2 linked regions of the Bombyx mori genome follow. The protein of the gene in region 2 purifies or fractionates together with the protein of the main gene of each other region. This does not show direct contact. Links are inferred from orthologs where the notes say so. Each region holds a gene or a part of one and is shown on either strand. Other genes may lie near its edges.

Region 1 (4,287 bases), on a different chromosome or scaffold from region 2:
GCATTATCCGCTCGGTGGAAAATCTCCCCTCCGTTGTTAAAAAATTCTAAAGACCTATTTACCAAAAATAGTAGTCGAATAAGAAAAAATATTTTCCTTTTCTCCCCGCACGAATAAGTACAACCATCCTGCTGCAAAGCAATCATGTCATGCGTCATTTCACCTTTGAAACAGGAGCATTTACAATAAATGAAAATGCACAAGCACATGTGTCAAACTGTGCGCTTTGATTTTTATGGGCTCCGAATATAAATAATAAAAGAATATTTTATAATAAAAGAGAATAACGTTTTTTTTTCGTAGCGAATTATCGGAGTTTTAGATTAAACTATGCTTTCTTGTAAAAACATTAAAAATAAATTTTAGAAATATCATAACATGAAAATACAACGTGCGCATTATCGCTATTAATCTTCCAGGCAACCGTAAGATGAACAAAATCATAGAAGAAATAATGATAGCTTGCGATGTAACAATTTAAAATGCTTAATTGACTGAATGAGATAGAAAAATATTAATTAAAATACAGCATTTTATGAATAAATAAATAAATAAAAAGACATAGGTACAGTTATAAATATGTACTATAAAGTATGTAAGTAATAAGAACTATTTTATGACAAGAAGTTATAAATAAGAAGAATATTATAAAAATACAGATTTAACGCTTTTTAAAAACGCTCTATGACGTTTTTTGTGGTAACTAATCATAAAAGTAATGTTTTCTCAACATCCCTTTACAGAATTTTAATACTGAGCCAATCTTGATCGACAAAGGAAGTACATTCCATGGCCGAACGGATTCAATAGTTAACGACTGGTCAAAAAAACTTGAGGATAAGCATCACAAAACGCAGGCTCTTAATTATAACATATTTTGGTAGTTAAGTACGATTGAAGATAATAGTGTTTTTCGATTTCCTCCAAATAGGTTGAAATCGTTCTACCTAGATGGATTTTGTAGCCGCCATTAGTATTTCAAATTACAATTTTAATACTGATGGAGTATTCTTGTTAAAGGTAAAATCCATTCGATATTTCTCACTAGTTATTCTCCCCACAAAATAACGTTATTGAAGTAGTACTACTTTGCGATCAACAATTTTCTTAACAGCTTAATCGGGAGACCCACTGCCTACTCCCAAACAAAGCTTCTAAAATCCCCGGAAACTGACCGAAAACATTAAGCTGACCTCTATAATCTTGTACATTCAACCATAGAGTTTTAGAGTTACATTGAAGCATTATGATCTAAGATTTCTTTGCCTCTCCAAATATCAAATAGAGAAACAAGAATGAAATCGATCAACATGTCATTTTGAAATGTAAGCTTTATGCTTTTATGATAAGAACTATTTAGGTTTAAATGCTTTAACTTGACGTTGACAGATCCTGACAGCTGAGAGAAACCAAACAAAACAAATATCTGCAGCAGCCGACGCCCAAACAATAATTATTTTCAGAAATATAAGGCGTGTCCAGGGCGTGTCGCGCTACCTAAAATAATAGTACTGTACCGCTGATCTTACTATTGCACACCACGACCTGGAGTCATTCGGACGTCCGCAACCAGTTAATATCGCTAGGTTATTACAGATCATTGTTTTTTTTTGTTTTTAACTAAAATTTTACAAACTTAACCATCGCATTTGTTAAATGGAGTGATTTTATTAAGTTCCCATCAGTTTTGGGCAAGGCATCAGTTAACAATGGTCTCTACACGGGGGCTACGATATAAATTCACTGAGGGGGAACGAGTCCTGTGCTACGAGCCAGACCCTACTAAAGCCAAGGTGCTTTATGATTCCAAGGTAAAATACTTCTTTTTTTAAATAATATTTTTTTTAAACAAAAAACGAGGAATCTACCAATATGTAAAAAAACTATATATGTTTTAAATAAATGAAGTAAAACCTTAAGGCAGAACCTTAATTTAAAAATATAAAAAAATCCTTTCATTTACTTGTGAAAATCAGAATCTGTTTTACTAAAGAACATTTAAAAGTTGACCACACCCAAAACTTTCTTTGTATATAATTAATGTTATATAATTACAATTCAAATAATAGAAATATACATAATATGGAAAAAAAAATAAGAGTGCTAGCTTTAAAATTTTTGATGAGAACATAATCCAAATAATGCATTTGCTTTTGGCATCATGTTACTTAAAAAATATTCCAATCAAATATTGCTTTAAAAAGCAAAGAAAGTTGCATAAAATATATTATTTTATTGATAGCCACACCTGGACCAGACTTGAGATGTATAATCTTAAATAAATTAATATATTACTATATAATGATACATGCTCTACATTATTTAGTAACTTTTTCAAAAACCACTTAAACTTGATTATCACAAAGAAACTGAATGAAAAATTATAAAATTTTAACATTTTCTATTATAGAGCTTTTTTTTTACAAACGTCAATCTTAATTTTCTATAAAATACAACAAAATCCTACCTAAACCTATCTGCTCATTATAATTGGAGCAAAAATATAGTAGGAAATGAATTCTTTATATTCATTTCAAGAATTTGCACGAACAAAGCAAACCGTGACCACACCCTATCTGCACATTGGAAGTACAACAACTCATGTGTAGTCAAATCATATCAACATTTTAATGAATATAATAATATGTATTGAAACTGAAAATATTTATATCCAAGTAATATATATTTTGAAAACATATTATAATAAAAAGTGAAATTTCCATTAGAATGTATCAAACAAAGAATTTATAGTATGTCTGTATTTTTTTTTTTGCTTTGATGAGTGGACAAGCTCACACCCACCTGGTGTTAAGTGGTTACTGGAGCCCTAGACATATAAAACGTAAATGTGCCACTCACTTTGAGATATAAGTTCTAAGGTCTCAAGTATAGTTACAACAGCTGCCCCACCCTTCAAACCGAAACGCATTACTGCTTCATGGCAGAAATAGACCGGGTGGTGGTACCTACCCGCGCGGACTCACAAGCGGTCCTACCACCAGTAAAAAAACATATTGAAAAAAAATTAATAAAATAGTGAAATTTCCGTTAAAATGTATTGAACAAAGAATTTATAGTGTGTCTAAGTAAAATACTATTTAATTATATCAATAAATAAACAGGTTCTTGAAGTCGTAGAGAGCAAAGACAAACGAGGGCGTAGAACTGTTGAGTATCTAATCCATTTCCAAGGATGGAACTCTTCGTGGGATCGCTGTGTCAGTGAAGACTTCGTTCTCAAAGATACAGAGGAAAATCGACAGCTGCAACGTGATTTAGCTGAAAAATCACAGCTTCAGTTGTAAGTATTCATCACTACATAGTATAAAACAAAGTCGCTTTCTCTGTCCCTATGTATGCTTAAATCTTTAAAACTACGCAACGGATTTTGATGCGGTTTTTTTTAATAGATAGTGATTGAAGATGAAGGTTTATGTGTATAATAGCATCCATTAGATAGTGGAGAAATCAATAATAAATTACAGTTTCCGAAGCGAAGCGAGGGCGGGTCGCTAGTAACACTTCAATGAATCTTTAATATGAATAAGTTTAATAAGTCGTTATAGACAATTTACTGTATTCTTATGCATTTTAGGTCTTAACTACTAAAATTCCTTTTAAAATTAATTAAATATTTTCCGATCAGAATTAGGCCTATAACAATTCTTATTTCTCGATTTCATGTCAATCTATGTTTTAACAACAAAAAATCGATTTTCGATACATAACATTTGAACATTGTATAAAATTTCTGCAGTTCATTGTCTGCAACAGCCACGCCCTAGGCAACGCAAACATCCCCGTTAGCTATTGCGCATGAAACCTAGCCACGTAGTACATACCTATAGACCTACGTACCTAGACATATATTAAGCGTATAATTCGAATACATGATGGCGTGTGTAATGAAAAGTATAATTTATTTGTATCTAGGATTTATTGTTTATTAAAAAACAATAAAAAAAATTAAATCCGCATTGTGCATCCTGATTTGCAAAGTGAATATTCCAAACAAAAAAATGCGTAATTGTAATGAAAAACCTTTGATTTTATTATTTTGTGAAAAACTATAGAAATAAAATTATAGAATTGCATCGCAGTATTATCGACATTGGGGTTTTTTTTGTTAGAGGGGCTTACTTGTACCGTCGGGAACGAAAGAAGGGTGGTAGTACAAGCGCCGCCGGGGCGGGGCCCGCCAAGCGCACCCGTCATGGCTTTAGCGACGACGGCTCTTCGACAAGTACCCAGCCAGACGGTAAATATAACCATAATCTATAGCACACC
Region 2 (4,187 bases):
TGTTCGATATGTGAAAATGAATCAATAAAAAGTAATTGAAAAAAAAACATACAAGGTTTTGTTTTTAATTTACGAAATAAAAAAGGGTTTAGAAATAACACAGTTACAAATTACTCTCATTTTTTTAATCTTCGAACTCTGACACTTTCACCTTACAAATTAAGATTATCACAAACAAACAGTGAAAACTGACGATTCACAGAATCTAACTGATGAGGCAACAAGATCTTTTTAGACAATTCAACACATTTTTGCCAAATTGAAATAAACACAATACAAAAGCTTATCCTAAACAGAAAATATTCAAGTACATTTCAAAACAAATCTCACATGTCATTCTTGAATGATGCAATAATCCTCAGCTATTTTAAGTCCGCACATGGTTACATAAGTCATTGAACTTTTCACAATACTAAACTCGTGTTTTTACACTGAAAACAGTTTGGATATGCGTGGGAGGGCCATTGTCATAAGATTACACAAGATTTCCTTGTTTGCATCATTTAATTTCTGACTTCAAAATGTGGATGAAATATTGCAAAATGATCCCTAAAATGACATTAAACTACACAAATTAGTCTCTTTATACATTGAAGACAGTTTTACTGTCAGTCTAACAAGACATGGCCCTAAATAAACAAAAAATTAAAGCTAAAATGAATCTTACATTATTTCCAATTTTAACTTAATTTTTAAACTTAATATTAGTATCACTTAAACCAGTTTAAAAGGAACTGAATGAGATATGTTACAAAAATACGCAGATCTAGTTTTGTAACAAATAAAAGAGCATTTACAAATTAAAAGAAATAATAATGGTAATGAACTAAATCATTACATTGTCATGAAATAAACATATTAATGAAACTGTGTCCTTTTTAATGAATGTGGCACTTAGAAAACAAATATTTTTGTCTTTGAAAATAAGTTACATACACAAAATTTATATACTAGGGTCAATGCATCACAATATGAGATATCATCCCAAAAGAGCAATACATAAAAGTATAGTATACAAATAGACATATAGTGTAATATACAATTTAGAGGTACTCTTTCTTTCAACAAAACCCCAAGTTGTGAAAAACACTCATCAATTTAAAAGCTATATCATTAATCCTATTCTAATTTTGAAAATACTTAGCTGTCGTTCCATCCACTGGGATTCTTCGATCTCAAAATGCTATTTTACATTTGAATTTTCTTTAAAGCAACTGCATTTATTAAAGATTCTTACGACTATAATACTCTAGCATTCTATGTGTTGCAGTTTTTTATTATAACAGGCCTGGACTTGAGATATTGGTTTTAACTGTGTTTTAACATTCCCTAAGCCCTGCCTGTAAGCCTGTACTACTTTTTGGCTTTGGCAGAGTTCCCCTGTTTACTAGGGGGCGTCCATCTCAGTGCTGAAGGATCTATTGACAACCGTGGTTTTTTAAAGTGCGGGCTTGCTAATTGTTCAGCAACTATTTTAGGTGTAACACAAATAACATGCTGTCCTTTCCAGTACTTCACCATGTTCATTGACTGTAAAGTTGAAATGATGTCCGTTTGTGATATTCCTGTCATCTGACTTAAATCCTTGATACTTAATGTACCTCTACTAGCACTTAACACTTCTAATAAAACATATGACCAGTACGATCTGTAACTTAACTTGCCTAAATCTGATAAAGGCTTCTCTGGACTTCCAACAACTTGTTCGAGCCTTGAGAGTTCATAACTAAAAGCTATCAGGAGTTTACCATACCCCTGTCTCTGATATGGAGGTAGAGTCAATATACATGCCACATTATTGCCTTCAGGTGAATCCTTTTCTTTTGAAAAATATCCTACAAGGTGAGCTCCTTGCTTGTCAACTTCACACAATATATAAAATAAAAACTGTTCTATATCAAAATAAAGGGTTTTGTGATCTAAAAATAATTTGGCTAATAAACACAAATTCTGACAATATATTTTATGTTCTTTGCCATCTGCTTCAAAAATAGCTATTGTACCTTTTCTGTATATTTCGTTACCCTGGGGTTGGCGTGCTGTGCATTCACTGAGATGGTACCGGTATGTTTTTTCCATTCTCATATACTTCAAACAGTATTCACATAACCACAATTTTGATTGTTTACCATATTCATCAGGATACGGACTAAAATACCAAGTATCGATTTCATATTTTCCAATTTGTATCCTGTCTATGTATTTAACTTTAGTAATAGCTTCATGTTCCTTTTCAAGCGCGGCGGTCGTTGGATCCATTTCGGCGTAAGTTTTCTGCACATGGTTTATTTCGTCATGTTTACGTTTTTGATTCCTTGTTATTTTCCGGCCGGATTTGTCCGTGAGCAGGTGGTCGCAGTTTATGTTATTGTTCGACTGCTCGCATACGTCGAACCTATCTGACATAACCCGGTGGCGGGACACCCATTCGTCGAGTCTTCTATCATATCCGACATAATGGACATAATATTCGTAACAAGATTCCGCTGTACTGTATCGCGACTGTATAATCTCAGCCGGGTGCCATGACTCATCCGATCGCCGCACTAAATAATGTTCTCCTATGTCCAAAGGCTGTTCTGGGACCGACTCGGAGTCTTCATTATCAGTACTTCGACACTCAGGATTAGGCAACTCATTATTCACTATTGGCTTCTCTAATTCTTTATCACCTTTTGCCATAATAATGCCGACAACAACAATGGTATCACGCAATACCGCGCAATGCGCTTCATCGACGAAGTGGCCATATTAGCATTTAGCATAGATTATAGAAAAACCAAGCAGCATACGAGAAATGCACGGTTAAGAGTTGAGTCCGATAGAATTCTAGCGATTTTATCGATTTCGTATGATAAAGTCTACGATAGAGAGCAATAATGGTAATATTTAAGTTGTATCGGCTACAAAATCCACCACCACCTCTGGATTATAAGCTGTTTTTTAATTTTTTAAGAAAGTAGAAAGGAGGCGACTCTAAGAAATATACTGAAAATGACAATGACGGAAAATTTGATATAAAGTGAAACAGGTAAAAAGTGAATTAATAAAACTGTTTTATAAAAATAATCCAAAACACGATATAGTTAAATATATGTATATATATTTTTTATATTTTTATTTAATTTTTTTATGTTTATTTTTTTATTTTTTATTGCTTAGATGCGTGGACGAGCTCACAGCCCACCTGGTGTTAAGTGGTTACTGGAGCCCATAGACATCTACAACGTAAATGCGCCACCCACCTTGAGATATAAGTTCTAAGTTCTCAGTATAGTTACAACGGCTACCCCACCCTTCACACGTCATCTCGGATCCTCCCCATCCACTAACGGTGCTTCGAGGTACTTCAAGCACCGATCACCGTTGTCGTCTAACCCGTCGCTTGCGACGAAGGGCTCGACGAGTAAATTAACTCTCAGACACAGCCCATTGAGTTTCTCGCCGGATCTTCTCAGTGAGTCGCGTTTCCGATCCGGTGGTAGATTCTGCGAAGCACGACTCTTGCTAGGGTTCGTGTTAGCATCGTCGTCAGGTTTGAGCCCCGTGAGCTCACCTACTAGTTAAGATTCCGCTAGAATAGCCTCTCTAGGCTACCAGCTTTTATTGGATTAGGAGGAAATTGTAGGACATCCATATGTGATTTGGGACCAGTATGCTGGGCATATCGGAGTTGAACCAACTAAAAATTATTGTCGCTTATCAACACGCAACCGAACCTTGCATGAGGCGGTATTCATCCAAGGCCAATTGGGGCCAAGGACCGGTTTTGCCTAGAGCGCATCTCTTCTGGTCACCCTGTGTCGATTGCATGCTAAACTGACGGTCGATGGCACATTTACCACCAGGTCTCTCAGTTGGTGAGCACTCTGAAGCCTTCCAGGTGGCACCACCATCAGTGTGAGTCAGGGAGTGTGATAATCTGTTCCTAATTGATCATTCGCTCGCGTAAAGCAGCTTACACATCGTTTTCTTTGGTCACCTTTGCCCGTCCCCAAATCAAAATACGTAGGGGACCTAATATACTTGGGGTCAAGATTTAGGCGAAATACAAAGGTTCTAAATAAACTAGTTTTAAAACTAATTAAATTTTGAACATTCTTTCCTTGTTGTGCTAGGGTTTTAGCGTTCACCTAAAATCACACAGCTCTTTGAATCACGGTAACTTAAAAGTGCGGTGAGCATAG

What was found. The genes of interacting proteins can lie anywhere in the genome.
Region 1: the proteins of MOF (region 2) and Msl3 purify together in Homo sapiens (affinity purification with mass spectrometry; 4 studies listed by BioGRID and IntAct, with this or other methods). This does not show direct contact. The link is inferred for Bombyx mori from reciprocal best matches to the Homo sapiens genes KAT8 and MSL3.

The regions. Positions count from the first base shown.
Region 1 is NC_085113.1:6,781,273-6,785,559, reverse strand, and holds the start of Msl3 (male-specific lethal 3), read left to right. Parts: upstream 1-1,487; 5' UTR 1,488-1,709; coding exon 1,710-1,811; intron 1,812-3,122; coding exon 3,123-3,301; intron 3,302-4,130; coding exon 4,131-4,258; intron 4,259-4,287. UniProt on the Homo sapiens protein: Non-catalytic component of the MSL histone acetyltransferase complex, a multiprotein complex that mediates the majority of histone H4 acetylation at 'Lys-16' (H4K16ac), an epigenetic mark that prevents chromatin compaction.
Region 2 is NC_085123.1:12,415,188-12,419,374, forward strand, and holds MOF (MOF protein), read right to left. Parts: upstream 2,815-4,187; 5' UTR 2,683-2,814; coding exon 1,354-2,682; 3' UTR 111-1,353; downstream 1-110.